3 linked regions of the Macaca mulatta genome follow. The protein of the gene in region 3 interacts with the protein of the main gene of each other region in a pairwise test. Links are inferred from orthologs where the notes say so. Each region holds a gene or a part of one and is shown on either strand. Other genes may lie near its edges. The genes, in order: MOAP1, LDOC1 and LATS1.

Region 1 (7,535 bases), on a different chromosome or scaffold from region 3:
GCAAGACCAACCCTCCTTTTCTCCCTCAGCCTGCTCAATGTGAAGATGACAACCAGGATGAAGACCTTTATGATGATGCACTTCTTTAATGAATTGTAAATATAGTTTCTCTTACAATTTTCTTCCCCCATTTTTTTTTTTTTGAGACACAGTCTCGCTCTGTTGCCCAGGCTGGAGTGCAGTGGTGCAATCTCAGCTCACTGCAACCTCTGCCTCCCAGGTTCAAGCGATTCTCCCGCCTCATTTCCCAAGTAGCTGGGGTTACAGGTGTGTGTGGGTTTCACCATGTTGGCCAGGCTGGTCTCAAACTCCTGAACTTAAGTGATCCACCTGCCTTGACCTCCCAAAGTGCTGGGATTGCAGGTGTGAACCACTGCACCCAGTCATATAATTTTAAGAACATTTTTTCTTTAGCTTACTTTAATATAGTATATAATACAAATAACATACAAAATATGTTAATCAACTTTCTGTTATTGGTAAGGCTTCCAGTCAGTAATAATAGTTACGTTTTTGAGGAATCAAAACTTATGTACAGATTGTGCAGTGGGCTGGCTCCCTGAAGCCCCAAGTTATTCAAGGGTCAACTGTACTCCCCTGCAATGCACATAAGATGGACATTTATGAAATGGAGCCAATGCCTGCCCTGCTTCCCTTGTGAGGCTAATGGGTATAGATACCCTGATGATTGCTTCTCTTTCTTGGCAGTAGAAAGAATATGGGCCTTGCAGAAAGAAAGAGGAGAGAATTCTGACCTAATCACTCACTACACTTACTACAGAGGATCAGAGGATAGAATTCTGGCCCAAGGATGTTTCACCTTGACTGAATTTCTTTTTTTTTTCTTTTTTTTTTTTTTTTGAGACGGAGTCTCGCTTTGCCCAGGCTGGAGTGCAGTGGCACGATCTTGGCTCACTGCAACCTCCGCCTCCCAGGTCCAAGAGATTCTCCTGCCTCAGCCTCCCGAGTAGCTGGGACTACAGGCGCCCACCACCACGCCTGGCTAATTTTTTTGTATTTTTAGTAGAGACGGGGTTTCACCGTGTTAGCCAGGATGGTCTCGATCTCCTGACCTCGTGATCTGCCCGCCTCAGCCTCCCAAAGTGCTGGGATTACAGGTGTGAGCCACCACACCAAATTTCTAAACTTTTGTGCCCATTTCCACAAGTGTGAAACTGAGTTTTCCTATATTGCAGGATTTTTTTTTTTTTTTTTTTTTTTTTTTAAGACAGGGTCTTGCTCTGTCACCCGGGTTGGAGTGCAGTGGTATGATCATGGCATGCTGCAGCCTTGACCTCCTGGCCTCAAGCAGTCCTCCAGCTTCAGCCTCCTGAGTAGCAGGGACTGCAGGTGCACACCACCATGCCCGGCTAGTTAAAAAAATTTTTTTTTACATTACCCAGGCTGGTCTCCAACTCCTGGGTTCAAGCAATCTTCCTGCCTCAGCCTCTCAAAGTGCTAAGATTATACTGTTCAACCTTTTTCCAAGAGGACTAAATAAGAGAGTAAACGGAGAAACTTTTAGTCCAATCTTCCAAGCAGCAGCATGCAATGTTCATTTCTTTCCTTCTCCCTCCAAATTTGACACACTGATACATCTGCACTACTTGCACTAATTTGTGCACTGTCTTGTTTCACCCCATTGTTTTACTGCTTCAGTGGAAGCTCTCTTCACTTAGAAAACAGTTTCCTACCCCTGAGCACCAAGAGGAAAGAGTTCAAGGAACTAAGTCTGTGTAGGTCCAGTGGTTTGCAGATTCATGCTTTGGGAACTCTTTATTCAAATGAAATCTCTCCTGGAACCTTGATATAAACAAAACAGACAACGTCATTTTATTACCATTCCTTTATTTTAGAAGCTCACATCTATAATTTTATAACAATCGTGAAAATGTTACTCAGAACTAGATGTTTTGATGACACATAGCAGAAATCTGTAAAGATGGTCATTGAAACTTAACCAATCTCAGCATTCTATTCCGCCTTTTGTTTTGATTGCACAGAATCAATATAATTTTGATTCATACAGAAAATAACTTAGTATCTTAACCTCCACTCAGGATCTTCATCATAAATGTAGGTCAATACATACCTAAAAACTGTCAATGATCCAACATGATCACATGTGACATGCTACACTTGTGCCTCGTACCAAACAAGCTGATATTTCAATGAGATCTGGTCAGCATATACACCCGAGCCTTGTCTGTCCTCTCAGAGCACTGCACACAGGTAGTGAAAGAACTTTTGTACAATAAGAAATTCACAGGGATGAGGCCGGGCGCAGTGGCTCACACCTGTAATCCCAGCACTTTCGGAGGCTGACGCAGGTGGATCACTCGAGGTCAGGAGTTCGAAATTAGCCTGGCCAACATGGTGAAACCCTGTCTCTACTGAAAATGCAAAACTTAGCTGGGCGTGGTGGCACGAGTAGTCCCAGCTACTCGGGAGACTGAGGCAGGAGAATAGCTTAAACCCGGGAGGTGGAGGGTGCAGTGAGCCAAGATCGCGCCACTGCACTCCAGCCTGGGTGAGCACGAGACTCTGTCCCTACAACAACAACAAAGATATTCACAAGGATGAATTTAAATAGGTAAACAGCAGTGTAGAACTACATCCTTCCTAGTCAATTACACCTTTAGGAGACTTTAAATAGGCATAGAAACGACAAAGGGCTTATACTGAGAATTGCACAAAAATGAGTTACTTGGCAGCACAAGGTAGGGATTGTATGTGTCAAAGAGTATATAGACTGTTCTACCTTCATGCTCTACTCATTGCCATATCCCTTCGTGATTCCCTGAGACTCAGGTGAAATGCCCTTCTAATACTTCCTGGAGAAGGGCCTCCTCCTCCTCAGCTGCCTCGTAATCCTTTATTAGTACCAGTAACTGCAAGAAACCAGGGGCTGGGCCATCCTCTGGCAGATTAAGCTCTCTGCGAATTGTTTTGTGGACTGCGCCAGCAATGACTTGGTCTAGGCGGGCCTGATTCACAGCATCTCTCTCAATTGCTCCTCTCTGTACCAGCTTCTGTAACAAAGGCTCCAGCCTTAGTACATAAGCCGACAACTTTTCCTCATCCTTCTGATAAGTGGTTAGATATTTGACCTGCAACTCTCTAGGATTATCTGTAACCCCAAATACCTCCTCAAGAGCCTGCAGGCATTCATCGACAGTAATTAAAGGATTGTTTATCTTGAGGACACGAATAACATCAAGTGCTGGGCCTCGAAGGCTCTCTAGCAATCGCCTTCTCTTCTCTACATCTGGCACCTGCCACGCCTTTATCATCTGAGTAGTATGAAACATCCAGCGTCCAAATTCTTCTTCTCCTGGTTCTGGAGGCTCCCTGCCCGAGAACACTCTCAGCTTTTTATACTTCAAGCATTGCAGGGCAGGCTGAAGAGCCTCTAATGCCTGTGCCAACATAGGGGCCCACATTTCTGGGATCATGCCCTGCTCTAGGTCTAAGGAGCCATTTTCATGTGCAAGAGCTCTGGTCAACTCACCCACTGTCATGCCCTCTCCCGCTAAAAATTCATTTAATCTGCTTAAAAATGTATTATCAGAGTCAGGGGGCTTAAAGATCACTCTCCAGATACCCCCTTTTCCCGGTATCTCCTTAGGGACCAGTGCGTGACTAGTCTCCGCAGTAAGACCTACTAAGGCTACTTTCCTGTTCTCATCCCTCCTGAACATCCTTCCAAGCAGTCTGTACTCCCCCAAGGGAGCTAAACCAGCCTGCAGAGCCTCCTCGATTTCTGCCACACTGCAGCTCTGGGAGATGCCGGCAATCAACAGCGCTTTCCGAGGGTTCATGTCCATCCCCCTGCACCAGTCTTCCAAAAGCCTCAAAGTCATGGTGCCCGAAATAATACACTTAAGTTCTAAATATTCCAGACCACAGGCGGCCACTGCAATTCAAAGTAATCCTCCGCGGTACCTCAGGGAAATCTCGTCAACGTGCCGAGGTCCAGCAGCCTGCAAAACACAGCAGACAGGTTAGCTAAGGGTGCCAACGTCCAAGGCACGCGTGCAGGCCCCAAGCCCCGCGCGCCCTGCCCCCCGCGGCGACTCCAGGGCCGCCGCACTGCGGCGCGCGCCCCTCACCCCTCCCAGCCCTGGTGCCTGGCGGATGTCGGGCCTGCAGGGCCTCTCCGGGCCAGCTTCCACTCACCGTAATCTAGTGCTCGGTGCCCGCGTCCGTGCGCCGGCGGCGGAGGTGCCTGGCCGGGCCCCGACGAGGTGCGGGAGGGCGGGCTCCCCTAGGCTCGGACGGACACTCAGGGGCCAAAGCGACTGATGCCGGTCCTCCAGGTGCTTGTGATGCTCTCCGTAGCAAGAAGTGATCGGGCGATGACAGTCGCGATCGGGCACCGGGAGGAAAGGCTGAGGAGCGCTGAGTCGCCAGACCCAGACAGCCGCCCACCTGAAGGGACGTGCCGCCACCCGCGCAGCTAGACCCCCAGCTCCAGCGCGGATTCCAGCTGTTTGGGTCTCGCTGGGGGAAGCTGCGCGGCGGGCGGGGGCGATCTGACGTCATGAGGGGGGGCGGGCCTCTGGGGGGCGGGGCGCGCGCGCTTCCGGCCCGAGCCGGAAGCCCGGACTGCGGCGGCATCCGGGACGGCGGGCGGGCTGGCCACCCGGGACAGGAAGGTGAGATCCGGGACCTTAGCTTTGCAGGCAGGCTCTGCCGGCGGCCGCTGACTGGCGCTGGGCTCGCGACGCTGCAGGGCTGCGAGGCCCGGGCCTGGCGCAGTCAGCACAACCCTGGTCGCTGCGTGCCGGCGCTGCAGCGCGGCAGGGGGCGGGGCCGGCCGCCTGGAGGCCCTTTTGGCGGGGACGCCTCCCGGCCGGGTCAGGTCCCCATAGCGGGTCTCCGGCGGCGGCGACGGGGGCCGGGCCGCGCGTGACCCGCCGCAGTCACGCCGTTCTTAATCACTAGTAGCTGGTGCTCCAGGCTGGCGGCGCTCACCTTTCTCCTAGCCGGGTGACCCAGGGGATTTATTTTATGGTGGCTTTCTCTGAAATGCCAAAGCCACCCGATTATTCAGAGCTGAATGACTCTTTAACGCTTGCCGTGGGAACAGGAAGATTTTCGGGACCACTGTAAGTGCTTAGGAGTTACTGTCTTAACTTGGGGGCTTGACTTGTAGCACCCCGCGTTCACATCTGAAGCAGTACTGTAAAGCCGAAAGTGTTTCACCTGTCAAAGTGAAAAGTGCTGTGGGAAACTAGTTTAATTCCAGTTTCTGGAGGGCGGGTATTATGGACCTGTTTAAGTAGGATGCAGTGATTTATTCTGAGATTCCCGTTAAAAAGCAGAACTCAGTATATACTGAAATCAATGGTTATTTTGTTTTTGTTTTTTTATTGTAACTATTACACAAAACCTGTAAGTTTTACATTTCTTAATAGGCGTTTAATTATTTTAAATCTTAAGTGTGTTAGTGGGATGCTTTCGAATTTAATTTTATTTTTTTGAGACGGAGTCTCGCTCTGTCGTCCAGGCTGGAGTGCAGTGGCGCGATTTCGGCTCACTGCAAGCTCTGCCTCCCGGGTTCACGCCATTCTCCTGCCTCAGCCTCCCGAGTACCTGGGACTACAGGCGCCCGCCACCACGCCCAGCTAATTTTTTGTATTTTTAGTAGAGAAGGGTTTCACCATGTTAGCCAGGATGGTCTCAATCTCCTGACCTCGTGATTCGCCCGCCTCGGCCTCCCAAAGTGCTGGGATTACAGTTGTGAGCCACCGCGCCCGACCTAGAATTCTTGGAGATAAAGCAAGTACATTTGGAGTAGTTGCGGTGACAGTACTACAAGACCCTAATTGTATTTTCTTTTTTAATTTGAAGGCACAGAGCATGGAGAATGATGAATTTCCGTCAGCGGATGGGATGGATTGGAGTGGGATTGTATCTGTTAGCAAGTGCAGCAGCATTTTACTATGTTTTTGAAATCAATGAGACTTACAATAGGCTGGCCTTGGAACACATTCAACAGCACCCTGAGGAGCCCCTTGAAGGAACCACATGGACACACTCCTTGAAAGCTCGATTACTCTCCTTGCCTTTTTGGTTGTGGACAATTATTTTTCTGGTACCTTACTTACAGATGTTTTTGTTCCTATACTCTTGTACAAGAGCTGATCCCAAAACAGTGGGCTACTGTATCATCCCTATATGCTTGGCAGTTATTTGCAATCGCCACCAGGCATTTGTCAAGGCTTCTAATCAGATCAGCAGACTACAACTGATTGACACATAAAATCAGTCACCGTTTTTTCCCTACGATTACAAAACTGCCAGTCCTATATGGAGTCTGATCACAAGACTGCAGTTTCTTCACAGATCTCAGGAAGTTGTGGTGGGGCAGAGGCTTTTTAAAAACATGTGATCAGGGGGCTATCTTTATCTGAATAATAATGAATTTTTAGGTAAAACCTGAGATAGAGTACTACAAAATCATGTTGATGACTTCAGATTTTGGAAGTTAAATCGTGTCTGTTATTTGCATTCTTTAGAAACTTGACTGAGTACCTGAATTCATATTTCTATTCTACTGTGCAACATAGTGATGATTCAGAAATTTTTCCTTTGGGGAAAAAAAATGAATATGAACATTTCCATTGTGTTAAGTGTAAAAAGGTCCAGACATGATCATAAAATTTAAATTTTATACAATTACTTGGCTTGCTTTAAATTCTTCACACTTAAAACACCGATTCATTCTATTGCAGCTAAGCCAGCTGTTTATACTTGCTGTCAGCTTATGAGACATTGCTAAAAAAAGTATTAAGGTAATGGCTGTCTTGATAAGCAGAATTTGTTCTTCCTCTTGGTAATGGCTAGCTAAATTATTATTAGTGCTTTTAATGGTTTTATTTTTTATATTTTTCTTTTTTGTGGAGAATGAGGTCTCGCCACGTTGCCCAGGCAGGTCTCGAACTCCTGGGCTCAAGCTTTCCTCCCCTCTAGCACTCCCTAAGTGCTAGGATTACTGGCGTGGCTCCCATGCCCAGCTATTTTTAATTAAAAAAATTTTTTTTTCCATGGCTTGTGACACAGCCTCAGGAGGCCCTGAGAACATGTGCCCCATTGCTACTAGTTTAGAAAACTATTTGGGAAGAGACTAAATGGTAAATGTTGAAAGGCTAGAAATAACTTACAAATAGAAGATGGAAACAATGTGTTCAATGAAAATAAGCAGGTTATTAATTAATTAATTAAAATTATTATTTTTTTTGAGACGGAGCCTTGCTCTGTCACCCAGGATGGAGTGCAGTGGTGCATTCTCGGCTCACTGAAACCTTTGGCTTACTGCAACCTCTACCTCCCCGGTTTAAGAGATTCTCTTGCCTCAGCCTCCTGAGTAGCTGGGATTACAGGTGACTGCCCCTACGCCTGGCTAATTTCTGTTATTTTAGTAGAGAGGGTTACAGCATGTTGGCCAGGCTGTTCTCAAACTCCTCACCCAAGGTAATCCGCCTGTGTCAGCCTCCCAAAGGCCTGGGATTACAGGCATGAGCCACCAT
Region 2 (6,864 bases), on a different chromosome or scaffold from region 3:
GCTAAACTCCATCTGAAAAAAAAAAAAAAAAGAAGAAAGAAAGAAAAAAAGTGTGCTCCTAGGAGTGGAACCCTGAGTACTCTTCCTGTATTAGGGCCTGGATATGAAAGGTGGAGCTGGCCACTACCTCTGTCCCAGTCAGGCCCATCCTGTACTCTGAACTATAAATTTGGCAGGAGGATCAGAGACCTACTTTCCACATTTCCCATCCCTCCCCTCAATCCTTACACTGAACATTTATGGAACAACTAGTAAACACTGCCAGGTGCTGAAGATAAAATTAAGAGTGAGAGTGGATCCCTGCCTGCCAACTTCTCAGGTGGCGGAGCTGATAGCACAGGAGAGGCCAAAAGCTCACATTCTTCCTATCTCTTTTTTTCACTGCCCATCCTTTCACCAGTGTCATCTTCCCCAGGTCCCTGCTTGGGTCTTGGCCCTATTTCTCGGCTCTTTCCCAGTCTCCTACTCCCATGGATGATCATTCAATTCTATCCTAAAGGATTGAATTGAACTTCTTTAAAAATCTATTCAGCCAGTTTTATTACATCAGTCATTGTTTCACAATCGAGACTGATTCATGGTCAGAGATAAAATACACTGAACAATTTTTTTTTTTTTTCTGTTTCTCTTTTTTCTTTTTTCTGAGACGTTGTTTTGCTCTTGCTGCCCAGGCTGGAGTGCAATAGTGTGATCTCGGCTCACTGCAACCTCTGCCTCCTGGGTTCAAGTGATTTTCCTGCCTCAGTCTCCCAAGTAGCTGGGATTACAGGCACCTGCCACCACACCTGGCTAATTTTGTATTTTTTGGAAAGACGGGGTTTCTCCATGTTGGTCAGCCTGGTCTCGAACTCCTGACCTCAGGTGATCTGCCCCCCCCCCCGCCCTCGGCCTCCCAAAGTGCTGGGATTACAGGCATGAGCCACCATGCCCAACCTTACACTTAACAATTTAAAGAGTATTATTTAACACTTTGTGCAGCCACAACTTCTAATTTTTATCTCAGCATCTGCACTCTGAGATTATATTACACGCCAAACATTAATGAAGCCTCTACTCTGGGCCAGAACTTATCTAGACATTAGGGATAGACCAGATAGCAAAAGCAGTGTTTCTTTGACTTATATATTCTAAAATGGAAGCAGATGATGAGCAAAGTCCTATATATACATACGACATGGTGGCTAGTAGCACAATAAATGTTATGTAGATAAATGAAGCAGAGTAAAGGGTTACAGATTGGTGGCAGAGAACAGGGTGCTCTGATAGGTCCAGTGGTCAGAAAAGTTCTCTCTGAAAGCAGTAGGAGGAGTCAGGCAGCCAACTGGGATGACATCCTTGCAAAGGAGAAGGGATAGAAGGTGCAAAGGCTATGAAGCCAGAACTGCTTGATGGGTGTGAGAATCAGCAAGGAAGACAGTGATGAGAGCACAGCAGAAAATGGGAAGAGGCACAGGATAGAAGGAGGGGCCTTGTAGGCCTTGGCTGCAACTTTGCTCTTTATTCTGAGGTGAAACTACTGGAGGATTTTGAGCAGGGGCGTGAAGGGATCTAACTGTTTTTTGTTTGTTTGTTTGTTTGTTTTTGTTTTTTTTTTTAGAGATGGAGTCTCGCTTGGTAACCAAGGCTGGAGGAGTGCGCTGGCGCTATCTCGGCTCACTGCCACCTCCGCCTCCCGGGTTCAAGCGATTCTCCTGCCTTAGCCTCCTGAGTAGCTGGAACTACAGGCACCTGCCACCACGCCCCGCTAATATTTTGTATTTTTAGTAGAGACAGGGTTTCACCCTGTTAGCCAGGATGATCTCGATCTCCTGACTCGTGATCCGCCCTCCTTGGCCACCCAAAGTGCTAGGATTACAGGAGTGAGCCACCGCGCCCGATTCCTGTGGCTACTCTATGGAGAATATACTATAGGAAGAAAAGAGTGAAAGCTAAGTGATTAGTTGCAGCAGTCTGGGTGAGAAAGGCTGGGGATCAGGGTGGCAGTGGTAGAAATGACAAGTCATGACTGAATTGGCAATATATTTGAAAGCAGAGCCAACAATTCCTGTCGGCTCTAGGGATCCGTTTAAAGTAGAAAAACAAAATTATTTAAAAACACAAACATCTTAACAGTTCATTTTTAAGTACAGAATAAAACCCAGTGGCCAAAGGCACTAATAGCAGGACAAGAAATAGAGAATCAAAGATATGTGGGATGCCTGCAATTGATTATTGGATGCTGATTTTGCAAAACTTCTTTATATCCTGCTACTTAGGTTTGTTTTTTTTTGTTTGTTTGTTTTAAGGGAGTATGCCATATTATTCCCCTACTAAAGAAGTCACTGTTTAAATACTGCCTTTTTCATGAAAGGCAGGAACCCCTGAAGGTCTTCATGATCCTAAAAGGAAGTGTGAGTCCCACAGTGCAGCCAGCAGTGTCAATACTTCTCTGAGTGAGATTTAAACAAGAAAGAAAATGTGTTAATAAAACATCACGCCAAGAGAATCTAGTGGCCACAGACCCACGAAGGAACAACTGAGTTGTGAGAGTTGCCTAGGTAGAAGGGTGGCTAATCCTTTCAGTTTGAACAAATTTGCCTTCTCTGAGACCAAACTCAGCGCTCGCCAGGTCCTCTGCTAACGCAGGCCCCACAACCAGGAGCTAGGGGAGCCTACCCCAGCCTTTAACTGCCCGCCTAGAGACCTACCACAAGCCGGTGGTTCAGCGACCCAATGCATCCTTTTCCTGGCCACGCCCTCTTTGTCTAAACCCTTCCCATCCCGGCCACGCCCCCACGCAGCCGCGGCCGCCAGTCTGGCCACGCCCCTCCCGCGCCGCGCCGGCGCACCATCCGTCCGAATGGCCTCGTGGGCGGAGCTTGCGTAGCCTCCCGGACCCCGGCGCGCACCGCCCCCCGCCCCCAGCCCCTGGCCATCGAGCGTCTCCGTGGACACGCACTTCCTGCGAGGCCTCCGTGCGCACCTTGGCCGAGCCGAACCGAGCCGAGCCCTGTCCTTCCAGGCTGTTCGCAATGGTGGATGAGCTGGTGCTGCTGCTGCACGCGCTCCTGATGCGGCACCGCGCCCTGACCATCGAGAACAGCCAGCTCATGGAACAGCTGCGGCTGCTGGTGTGCGAGAGGGCCAGCCTGCTGCGCCAGGTACGTCCGCCGAGCTGCCCGGTGCCCTTCCCCGAAACGTTTAATGGCGAGAGCTCCCGGCTCCCTGAGTTTATCGTGCAGACAGCGTCTTACATGCTCGTGAACGAGAACCGATTCTGCAACGACGCCATGAAGGTGGCATTCCTAATCAGTCTCCTCACCGGGGAAGCCGAGGAGTGGGTGGTGCCCTACATCGAGATGGATAGCCCCATCCTAGGTGATTACCGAGCCTTCCTCGATGAGATGAAACAGTGCTTTGGCTGGGATGACGACGAAGACGACGACGACGAGGACGAAGAGGATAATTACTAGGCCCTCGGGCCTCGGGGGGAGGGCCCTGCACGCCGTCACCCCCTCCCCGCAGCCCTCACCCCGCCAGGAGCCAGTGCTCTCCCCCTTGCCCTCCGGTCCCCTTCCCTACCCGCGCCCGTCTGCTCTTTCTTCATTTCTCCGTAGTGCTTGTCTTTGTTCCAGGAATAGTGCTCCAGTTACCTGCTGCTGGGGTTGGGGCTGGAGCCTCACTCACTCGGAAGTGCTTGGAAGTGTCATCTACCCTGGCCATCCCGGGGATCCCTCCCCTGCTAATCTGAACTGTGTCCTGAACCCCAGCTATTGGCCAGGCCCCTGTTACAAACTGCGCAGACCACCCATAGCCCTGCTGCTGCCACCTGCCCTGCTGCCAGGCTTACATCTGCCCAGAGAACTATGCTGCCACTTCACATCCACTCACCACATCCCACCTACAGACTACCGCCTTTCGAGATCAGGACCAACCTGGAAAATGCCAGAGTTGGCTCTGCCTCTTCGGACATTGATTTGGACAGCTCACCAACCCCTGAAGAGGCCAGTCATTCAGCCTGGTTAGTTTTCTACCTACTCCGAGTGTCCTCCCCTGCCATACCAGATTGCTGCAGGGGCGCGGTGTGCCTGACAGCCAAATTGTTGATATTTCTTTTTTCCTATGCACTGGTTTTACACAGCTGTCATTTTTCTTTCAAAATTGCAGCAGTCCCACAGATGTATGCATTTGGACAAATAGTACTAAAAACAAAACAAACAAGCACTCAGCCCAGCTCCTCAATACTACCTGGAAAAAGCATTGGCATTATTTTCAATAAATATCAAGCACTAAAAAACGAAATGATTGTCTTTTAATAGTTAAGTGCTATCACTGACCTCTAGAACTGTCACTGTGACTACCGTTATTCCCATGGAAATCAGGGAATACAACCAATCCTAGGAATCCCTGCTGTCAACTCCAGGCTGCTGGGGACAGCTACCTCAGGGCTTTGTCAGGGTTCTGATGCTTCCTTCACCAACGCATTTCTTAAAGCCCTGGCAAAGGGTGTGTTCTCTGGGTCCTCCAGGGTGGCATGGGTAAGGGTTGGCTGAGCAGATGGCAAAGAGGGCAGTATTAATAATTAGACCGTAACAACAGGCATAAACCAGGACATATATATGTATTGCTCCTAATTCTCTGAGCTTTTGGATTCCTTAATATTGTGCCAGGGAAGTTCTGCCCCTTAATCCTTATTGCCTATATGCAGCTGTTGAGTTCAGGCTCCAGAGAGCCAACATAGTACATTGTCACTTTCAAACTCCAAATAGCCAACATGTCACTTACAGGTGCTCTAGCTAACATTAAGTCCCAGATCCTGGGCAAGTGCATCCATAAAGATATACCCTGATCTTAACAAACATTTCATCCTCCTTGGGCAGACATCCTTAGAATTTCCACTCATAGATGTGTCCCAGATTCCTCCCTATGGAAATTAGCAAGATGCTTGGTTATCTCTTAAATCAGACTTTGTACTGCTATCTGGGGGCTATGCTGAGATCTCTGGGCCTGGAGGGTTCAGAGCAGTGAAGGGGGTGGCTGCTGAGAAGAAACTGCATACCTGTGTGAGGCCATTGCCCCGGGTTAAGTCATTGAAATGTTTAATGCAGAGCAGCTTGGTTGGGGATTTGAGAGGACTACCTCTTAGAAAGGTTTAGGAGGATGTGAGGGGTTCAGAGTTCTCATTTATATCTGTCCAGATGTCCTCCCTCATTGTACCATGTCTGGAGCCAACTTCACTTTATAACCTTTAATTAATTTAGATAACACATTTCCTTACTGTTTAAGGCCTTTTGAGGCAAGATATTTCATTTGTACTGGTAAACCTCAGTGTTGATTAAATGAGATATGGGGCTTCATATTAATCACCTGATAGGTGTGGATTATATGAGATCATACCCATGCAGCATTTAGAACTTTCCCTGCTACATGGTGAGCACTCAGTAAACCATGGGCTGTTACTCCTGGGCCTGGGGACAGAATTCTCAGGAAGCAAGTCTCTGGCTCTGAGCGTGGCTTTAGTAGGAAAATGTCAGCGTAAAGAGGAGCAGAGCAGGTTCAGCGATAATGGAAATGAGAGCATGATAAGACCCCATTTACTTTTTGAAGTCTTATATGAAGCAAGAAACAAAGCTGTTTACGTGGTGAACAGGCAAAGTTCAGGGTAGGAATTATATCTCACACCTAGGATAGCTGTTTCTGGAGGGTGGGGACAGGGGTGAGTATGACTTAATAAAAGAGGCCAAGGCTTGGGTGGAAATGAGATCTGGGGCTCTTCGGGAAGCTGCTGCCTCCAAATCTGAATCAAGGAGACACCTGGTTATTTAGAATTCACTGATCACTTCTCCCAGTCTCCTTGGAAAATATACAAAAACCCTTGGAATACAGAGAGTTTATATTTGAGACATAATATGTGTGAGGCCAGATAATTACACTTTCTTCCTGACTAGAAAGGCCTTGAATTGGGGATAAATGGGGAAAAGTGAGCAAGATCTAAAAGGTAAAGGATCCAGTGAGACTAAAAATCATTTATTCCAAACTGATTATGGCCCAGTTATGCTGAGTGGAGTTATATCATTGAATAAAATGTCATCTCTGCCTTCATAGTTAGTCCAGTCTGCTACTTTTACTGTGCCTTGGGCCAGAACTTCGATGATTAGTTACAGGAAAGGGCCAGGAAGAGAATCTGGGCTGTGATTAGATCTAGGAATGACCTTTCTGGGGTGGAAGTTGAGGACATATGAGTATGTGTTCTGTGGAGGAAGGGAGGGTCAGTAAGGATGCCATGCCGAGGCAGCATCTGAATGGCATCTGGGAGAACTAGGCCAAGGAGCTTCTGTGATCTGAAATGTACATTTCCTGAGTATGTGTGCATGTGCACATGAGCTTGCTGTGACCCTGTATGTGTGTGCTGTGTGTGTGTGTGTGTATGTGTTAGGTGATGTCCTTCATGCATCATGGACGAACAGGTTATGCTGTGAGATGCACAAAAGGAAAGTGTGAGATTCTGGTTACTCTGGGGACAGATTCTGCAATAAAAGTGCAGATATTGGCAAGGGCTCCATCACCCAGGGAGGAATTCCTGATAATGGCATAAAGCATTGCAAAAAAGAAGGAAGAAGTAGAAGTATGTCTAAGGATGGAAGTGCCACTTCTATCAAAACTATTAAAAATAGGTAGGAATGCTGAACAAATATGAACTTCAGACTCCTGAATTCTCATTTTGGGTATAATAGACTTGAAATGGCCACTGAAATTATACTATCAATGAAATGAAATTAGTCATATTAGAGGTCATAATCATTTAATCATATTAAATATACCAATATATCTTTGGACTTTTCTATTCATTTGAATAGATAAGCACTGCCATCTATTAAGTCCGTG
Region 3 (7,535 bases):
TCAGAGGAAGCTGTTTAATTAGAAGAAAAAAAAAAAAAACTAAGCAAAAAGGAAAGCAACATCCCAGTATTCTTCATTATACCTTAAAATTATACACACAATCATAAAGACAACATAGGTTAAGATAATTAACTAGCATTACGAAAAGCAGCCTGTTATCATGATGTTGCATTAACTACCCAAAGTAATTCAGAAGAATCCTAGATTCTGAATGTGAATAAGGCTGAGACTCAAACTTTATTGTGATGAAAATGGTATACAATTGAACGAATAAATGTATGCTACTGATTATTAATAAAATCTTTATGTTTACTTTCTGCCCGCTAAAAAATTGCTACTAAATAGACGGCTTATCTTAGAGTTAGTGGCATTTCAGAACTGAGAAAATATGATAGTTCAACCTCATTCCTTTAAATACCTTGATATTGGCCGGGAGCGGTTGCTCAAGCCTGTAATCCCAGCACTTTGGGAGGCCGAGACGGGCGGATCACGAGGTCAGGAGATGGAGACCATCCTGGCTAACACGGTGAAACCCTGTCTCTACTAAAAATACAAAAAACTAGCCGGGCGAGGTGGCGGGCGCCTGTAGTCCCAGCTAATCGGGAGGCTGAGGCAGGAGAATGGTGTAAACCCGGGAGGCGAAGCTAGCAGTGAGCTGAGATCCGGCCACCGTACTCCAGCCTGGGCAGCAGAGAGAGACTCCGTCTCAAAAAATAAATAAATACCTTGATATTGAACTTCATCATGTATATGTACTATTTTTATTTTATTTATTTATTTTTTTGAGACGGAGCCTCACTCTGTCGCAGGCTAGAGTGCAGTGGTGCCATCTCGGCTCACTGCAACCTCCGTCTCCCGGGTTCAAGTGATTCTCCTGCCTCAGCCTTACAAGTAGCTGGGACTACAGGCGTGCGCCACCACACTCAACTAATTTTTGTATTTTTAGTAGAGATGGGGTTTCACCATGTTGGCCAGGCTGGTCTCGAACTCGAGACCTCACGTAATCCGCCCACCTTGGCCTCCCAAAGTGCTGGTTACAGGCGTGAGCCACCACGTCTGGCCAGATGTACTATTATTTATAAATCCCTGACTGATGGACATTTAGGTTGTTCCTCATTTCTTTGCTAATGTAAAATAATACTGCAAACTGATAACTTCAATTATACTGGTAATATTCTAGTTCTGAGGACAGGTGGTAAGTTCATGGATGTTCATTTTATTATGCTTCATAGTTTAATAAAATGAACATATATATAATATATATAGCCTATTCCTTGCACATAACAAAAATTGTGAACAAAAAAAAAATTGCTGCAATAAAAATTCTTGTGCACAGATTGCTGAGCATTTTCCTTAAAATAAATTCCCAGAAGTGGAATTGCTGGATCAAAGAGAATACTTATTTAAAATTCTAATATTTATTGTCAGACTGCCTTCTAGAAAGTTATACTAATTTTATAATCCCCACAACAAGGTATGGTTAATACTGGCATTACTAAATCTCAATAATCTTTGCTGCTATGTCATGTGAAAATTCAAATTATTACTAGGCAAAGAGAATTTTTAAAATAATTATTCAAAGCAAAACTGTTCACCTTTTTAACCCACACTACAATGGGGCCAGATTCATCTTAATAAACAATTCTGATCATGTCACCTACCTACTCCATAACTTTCAATGACTTTTAACCTCATGGTTAAAGTAAGAGCTCTGGAATCAAACTGCCTGGGTATGACAAATCGCCATTTTTTTTAAAAAAAAGTTCAGACCCTCATCAAAAATACAAACATCAACAAACAAGTATCACTGATTAGTCTGTCCAACTTAGGGGAAAAAAATGGTACCATTACATAAGATTTCAAAGTGTTAACTTGGGTTGAATTAAGTTTATCAGAAAAGTACCCTGGCTGGGTGCAGTAGTGCACCTGTAGTCCCAGCTACTTGAGAGGCTGTGGTGGAGGATTGCTGGAGCCCAGGAGTTGGAATCCAGCACAGGCAAGATAGCGAGTTCCCATCTTTAAAGGAAACTGCATACTGATATTTTCTTCAGTTCACTTTCTAATAATTGTCAGATCAAAAGTGAAAGCAACACTGTATCTTCATGCTGAAAAATGATTGCTGTTTCTACTTGGTGAAAATGTTATTCAATGACTAAATAACTTTTGTGATGTATAACAATCTCCCATTAATATAAATAAAACATCTAAAATAACTAAACAACCAGGGTTAGAACCGTTCCAAAGACTATTTATACAGAACAACAAGGACTTGCAATAAAAACAAAACAAAAATAAAAACGACCCATACAATGAAAGCCAGATATTATACATTAAAAATGTAGTAGAAGTATTTTTTGGTGAGCAGCAAGACATATTTAATCAATATTTAGGCACAGAATGCACCATTCCAAGCATGGACCATGATCTAGTTTCTTGCAGTAGCAGCCAACTGGACTAACACAGTGCTACTTCTTTTACTGTTCAATCAAATTCCTCCACTGCCTTAGGGAATCAACTACCCTACTTTACCGTCAGAGATAAGCTTCGTTTTCGTAGCAGAGAACATTCACTCCAATTATAATGTCCTAGCTTTTCTTCCTCATGGAGGAAATTTGATAAAAAATTTTAACCTTCAATAAATAATTCATAAAGGTCTGACAAGTTTCATGATCGCTAACATTCAAATCCATTTCCAAAACTGGAGTTACACAATATACTTCTGTGCATGAGATTATACTTATTGTTCACTAGATTTATGAATAACTTCTGGAGGACAATACATGTTTTAAAAGTCGTATTAACATATAAGTTGGCAAACATTAAATTTTGTTCCCTTAGAAATTGACAGAGAAGTCAGAACAGTGATAAATCAAGTCATCTGAGAGTCACTGTTCCCTTAATTGTCGTTCTTTCATTTGCTGTATTTATATACACACTGCTACTCCATAAAGACTTCTCCATCTTTCCCACCACTTTCAACTAAGAACAGTAACCTAAAATCACACTGAACTAGACAGAAGAGACTCCAAGGATTTCTCCAAGGTATACCCAGGATCACGGCCCTCTAGGATTCAAAGAACTGTAGCCCTTTTACTGCAATTTTCCTTCAGAACCACCTTTCCCTTTCCTTCCCTCCTGGACACCGCCGACTAGCGTGTTGGGGGTGGGGTGGGAGACCGTCGGCGCAAGGCAGCCAGCAAGACAGGCTCTACCCAGCCAAACCTGCACCTTCGAGGCCGAAAAGCCTGGGGCTCTTCCTGCAGCACCGGGCGCGGCCAACCCTCGCTTCCCCAGGGCAGGGCTCAGCTCGGGTCAATGCAACCAGCCAAGTCAGGCCCGGAGCGGGCCGGCTCTGCCCGCCAGTCCACAGCAACCTCTGGACCCTCGCCAGCGGGGATGGGCGTGGGCCCCGGCGGCCACCGCCCCGCCAACTCGAGCAAGGGAGGAGAGCACCCGCTACGCCGGCCCGGGACCTACCTGGAGGGGAGAGCAGAGCTCCTGGACAGCAGCCACGGGCCTGAGGGCGGACGCCGAGGCGGCCGGAGCCCGTCCCAGCAACCCCAAGTATCCCTGGTGGGGCAGAGCGGGGAGAGGAGCGGGCCGGCTGCCGCGGGCCAGCGCGACCCGTCGCGGGGGTCGCGAGGACCTGGCTCTCCCCTTAACACCAGGACACTGCCGCCGCCGCCATTTTGCCTTCCACTCAGTGTCGCCGCCGCCGCACTCCGCTGCAGGTTTCCCGGATGTGGGCATTTCCCGGCGTCGCTTGCGCGGGGGCCGAGGACTGGGGGCTTCTGCCCGCCCGGCTGCTGCGAGGGAGCGCACAGCCAGCGGCCTCCGGGCCTCGTTGCGTCGCCCGCCGCTCTGATCGTTCGTGAGCGTCGCCCCACGTTGCTCCCACCTGCCCCTGCCCAGACTACTCGCCCGCGGCCGTGGGTTAAGGCTCTCTCCTGTTGATTCAATCCTTTTTCCCATTGATCTATTTCTCTGGACCGAGTAGGGATGCGCATTTCACGGAGCTACGTTCTCACAAGGGAACAACTGTGAGTCGCTCTGGGAAACCTTGCTGTGGGACCTCAGAATTCGAGATTTTTGGCGCTTTGAAATAAAATTTTATTCTTGCTTAGCGTTCTTTCCCCGAACAAGCCTGTGAGCTTCCAGCATCTGTATTTTCTGAATCAGGCAGATAAGAAATTCTTGAGCCAGGACCGATTGATTAGCAGCAGTTTAGAGATCTTATCTGTCAACCGCATCCGTAGAAGGAGGTCGTTATTGCCATAATTGGAGTAACGGTGACGGTGTGACAAGAGGTTTTACTTATGGTTAAACTGAATGTAAAGTGTGAGACCGGATCGTTGGGTTTGATGTATAAAGTACCGTCTACCCTTTGTGAAGAGCGCCTTTGCCAGTTTTTCCTCTAGGAAATATACAGCTGGCGTTTTTAAGTACCTTCTTTCGTAAGTTTTCTACTACAGACTATAAAAAAATTAAAGACATCTTTTTCTGACGTTAAAGTAGTAACTGGCTACTTACTGTATCCAGAAATCCAAATGTGAAAACCTGGTAAAATATGTTCCGGCCGGGCGCGGTGGCTCACGCCTGTAATCCCAGCACTTTGGGAGGCCAAGGCGGGCGGATCACAAGGTCAGCAGATCGAGACCATCCTGGCTAACACGGTGAAACCCCGTCTCTACTAAAAATAAAAAAATTAGCCGGGCGTGGTGGCGGGCGCCTGTAGTCCCAACTACTTGGGAGGCTGAGGCAGGAGAATGGCGTGAACCCAGGAGGTGGAGCTTGCAGTGAGCCGAAATCGCGCCACTGCACTCCAGCCTGGGCAACAGAGTGAGACTCCGTCTCAAAAAAAAAAAAAAAAAAAAAAAAGATTATGTTCCAAGAATATTTGGTTGAAAGCCTATTTTCTACAAGCACAGAGTTTGTATAAGGTAGACAATGTGACCCAAGGTGGGTCACTAAAGAGCTTACTTTCTTCAACGGAAGGGTGACCCATGAAAACGTTTTCAGCCCTAAAATTATATGAATTATAGGAATCTAATATGTCCACAGGTCTACTTGCCCTATCCAAAAGGATTCTGCATCTGGAAGAACAGACTGCCCCCAGAATCCTGTCACCTCTGTCATCAACCAATAGTATTCAATGCTCTCTAAACCTAAAGGAAAGTATCTCCACAAACTCTCATCTTTGGGGAAATTCCTAGATAATTCAGGGAGCTGAGTAAATTGCTCTGTGTAGGACTAGGAGTCTTACTCCTGTGAAGTAGGGCGAGAGATGAAAGAGCAGGGAAAGGAGAGGTGCAATGATCAGCAAGAGAACAAACCGACGAGATGAAAAGCAGCGGGGACTGCAGGTGTGGAGAGTGCTGATGGTTGGGGAAATACTTACTGTGGGTGCTGGATGTGTGTGTGGGAATGGCGATACCTGCCATCGCATTTGCAGGTTTTTATATCATTGTGATGGAAGATCTTGGTCCAGTTTCAGCCTACTCAACTCTTCAGTGCTTCATGGAAATGGGGCTTTTTTGTTTTTAGCAATAGATGTAGAGTCCGATTTCATGCTTGAGTGACCTTAGAAAGGAAGGAGGGGGCAATGTACATGGAAGAAGTCTGGAGACCAGTGTGACCCTGAGAACATAAACCCTTCCAGAAATTCATGCAATCTTAGGGTAAGACATCAGACTATGTGCCACCCACTCTTAAGGGAGTTGTGCTCCATCATCTTGACTCTGTCTCAAATAAATAAATAAATAAAGTGGATAATTCAAATACATTATTTGAAATTCTGCAGATTTATCCCTTCTCCTTCATTTATTTATTCAAACATTTATTGGCCGGGCATGGTAGTTCACACCTATAATCCTAGCACTTTGGGAGACCGAGGTGGGCGGATCACTAAGTCAGGAGCTCGAGACTAGCCTGGCCAACATGGTGAAATCTTGTCTCTACTAAAAATACAAAAAATCGGCCGTGGTGGGCGCATGCCTCTAGTCCCAGCTACTTGGGAGGCTGAGGCAGGAGAATCGCTTGAACTCGGGAGGTGGAGGTTGCAGTGAGCTGAGATTGTACCACTGTACTCCAGTCTGGGTGACAAAGCAAGGGTCTATCTTACATAAAAATAAATAAACAAACAAATAAACAAAAGAAAAACCCTTTATGTCTGTATGGCCTCATGGATATCTATTTTATGCTTTGGGTATTTATTTTGTTGCTCAAGTTGTTTCAGTTTTGGCCACTGGAGCTCTTTCAGTTGGCTTGTCGCATGTGTGTGTGTGTTTTAAAGAACTTTCTGCCCAGTTTGGTGGCTCACCCCTTTAATCCCAGCACTTCTGGAGGCTGAGACAGGAGAATCACTTAAGCCCAAGAGTTCGAGACCAGCCTGGGTAACATAGCAAGACCTCATCTCTATAAATCAGCCAGGTGTGGTGGTACACAACTGTAGTCCCAGCTACTCAGGAGGCTGAGGCAGAAGGATCGCCTGAGCCCAGGAGGCCAACGCTGCAGTGAGCCTAGATCTAGCCACTGCACTTCAGCCTGGGTGACAAAGCAAGACCTCACCTTTAAAAAAAAAAAAAAAAGAACTTTCATATTTTCAGGCAGTACAAGATGCTCCAAAATCTTTTTTTTTTTTTAGATGGGGTCTCACTCTGTCACCCAAGTTGAAGTGCAGTGATATAATTATGGCTCACTGCAGCTTCAACCCCCAGGACTCAGGTGATCCTCCTGCCTCAGCATCCGAGTAGTTTGGGATTACAGGCGCAGGCCATCACGACTAATTTTTTTTTTTTTTTTTTTTTTTTGAGACCAAGTTTTGTTCTTGTTGCCCAGGCTGGAGTGCAGCAGTGCCATCTCGGCTCACCGCAACCTCCGCCTGCTGGGCTCAAACAATTCTCCTTCCTCAGCGTTCCTGAGTAGCTGGGATTACAGGCATGCACCACCATGCCCAGCTAATTTTGTAGTTTTAGTAGAGAAGGGGTTTCTCCATGTTGGTCAGGCTGGTCTTGAACTCCCGACCTCAGATGATCTGCCCGCCTCAGCCTCCCAAAGTGCTGGCATTACAGGCGTGAGCCACCATGCCTGGCATGCCTAATTTTTGTATATTTTGTAGAGACCAGCTCTCCCTATGTCGCCCAGGCTGGCCTCGAACTCCTGAGCTCAAGTGATCCGCCCGCTTTGGCCTCCCAAAGTGCAGGATTACAAGTGTGAGCCACCACACCCAATTCTCCAAGTTATCTTGTATATTTCTTGCCCCGGTTCAGGGATCACCATTCCCCCAAGGCTCCCTGGTTCCTTTTATTGGAATATAGTATAAGAAACCAAATCTGGGTGCTAGATGTATGCCTTGCTACTGGTGTATCACGGATTCTAGGACCTCTCTGGCTAAGATTTTTTAAAGTTTATTCTACCCCTATAGAGGGGTAAAAACTCTTATGATTTTTTTGCAGCTACAACATTTTAAAAAATATTTTAATTAAATTTAAATTTAATTTAATTTTGAGTCATGCTGCCACCCAGGCTAGAATGCA

Evidence for each region.
Region 1: the proteins of LATS1 (region 3) and MOAP1 interact in a two-hybrid assay, tested with the Homo sapiens proteins (2 studies listed by BioGRID and IntAct). The two-hybrid records come from large-scale screens. The link is inferred for Macaca mulatta from reciprocal best matches to the Homo sapiens genes LATS1 and MOAP1.
Region 2: the proteins of LATS1 (region 3) and LDOC1 interact in a two-hybrid assay, tested with the Homo sapiens proteins (2 studies listed by BioGRID and IntAct). The two-hybrid records come from large-scale screens. The link is inferred for Macaca mulatta from reciprocal best matches to the Homo sapiens genes LATS1 and LDOC1.

The regions. Positions count from the first base shown.
Region 1 is NC_133412.1:166,432,660-166,440,194, forward strand, and holds MOAP1 (modulator of apoptosis 1), read right to left. Parts: upstream 4,496-7,535; 5' UTR 4,180-4,495; intron 3,984-4,179; 5' UTR 3,864-3,983; coding exon 2,808-3,863; 3' UTR 1,832-2,807; downstream 1-1,831. Other genes in the region: LYSET (lysosomal enzyme trafficking factor), read left to right, coding at 5,014-5,111, 5,857-6,268.
Region 2 is NC_133426.1:147,687,928-147,694,791, forward strand, and holds LDOC1 (protein LDOC1), read left to right. Parts: upstream 1-2,917; 5' UTR 2,918-3,011; coding exon 3,012-3,452; 3' UTR 3,453-4,267; downstream 4,268-6,864. UniProt on the Homo sapiens protein: May have an important role in the development and/or progression of some cancers.
Region 3 is NC_133409.1:68,222,669-68,230,203, forward strand, and holds the start of LATS1 (serine/threonine-protein kinase LATS1), read right to left. Parts: upstream 3,709-7,535; 5' UTR 3,478-3,708; exon of another isoform or gene 3,316-3,477; intron 1-3,315. UniProt on the Homo sapiens protein: Negative regulator of YAP1 in the Hippo signaling pathway that plays a pivotal role in organ size control and tumor suppression by restricting proliferation and promoting apoptosis.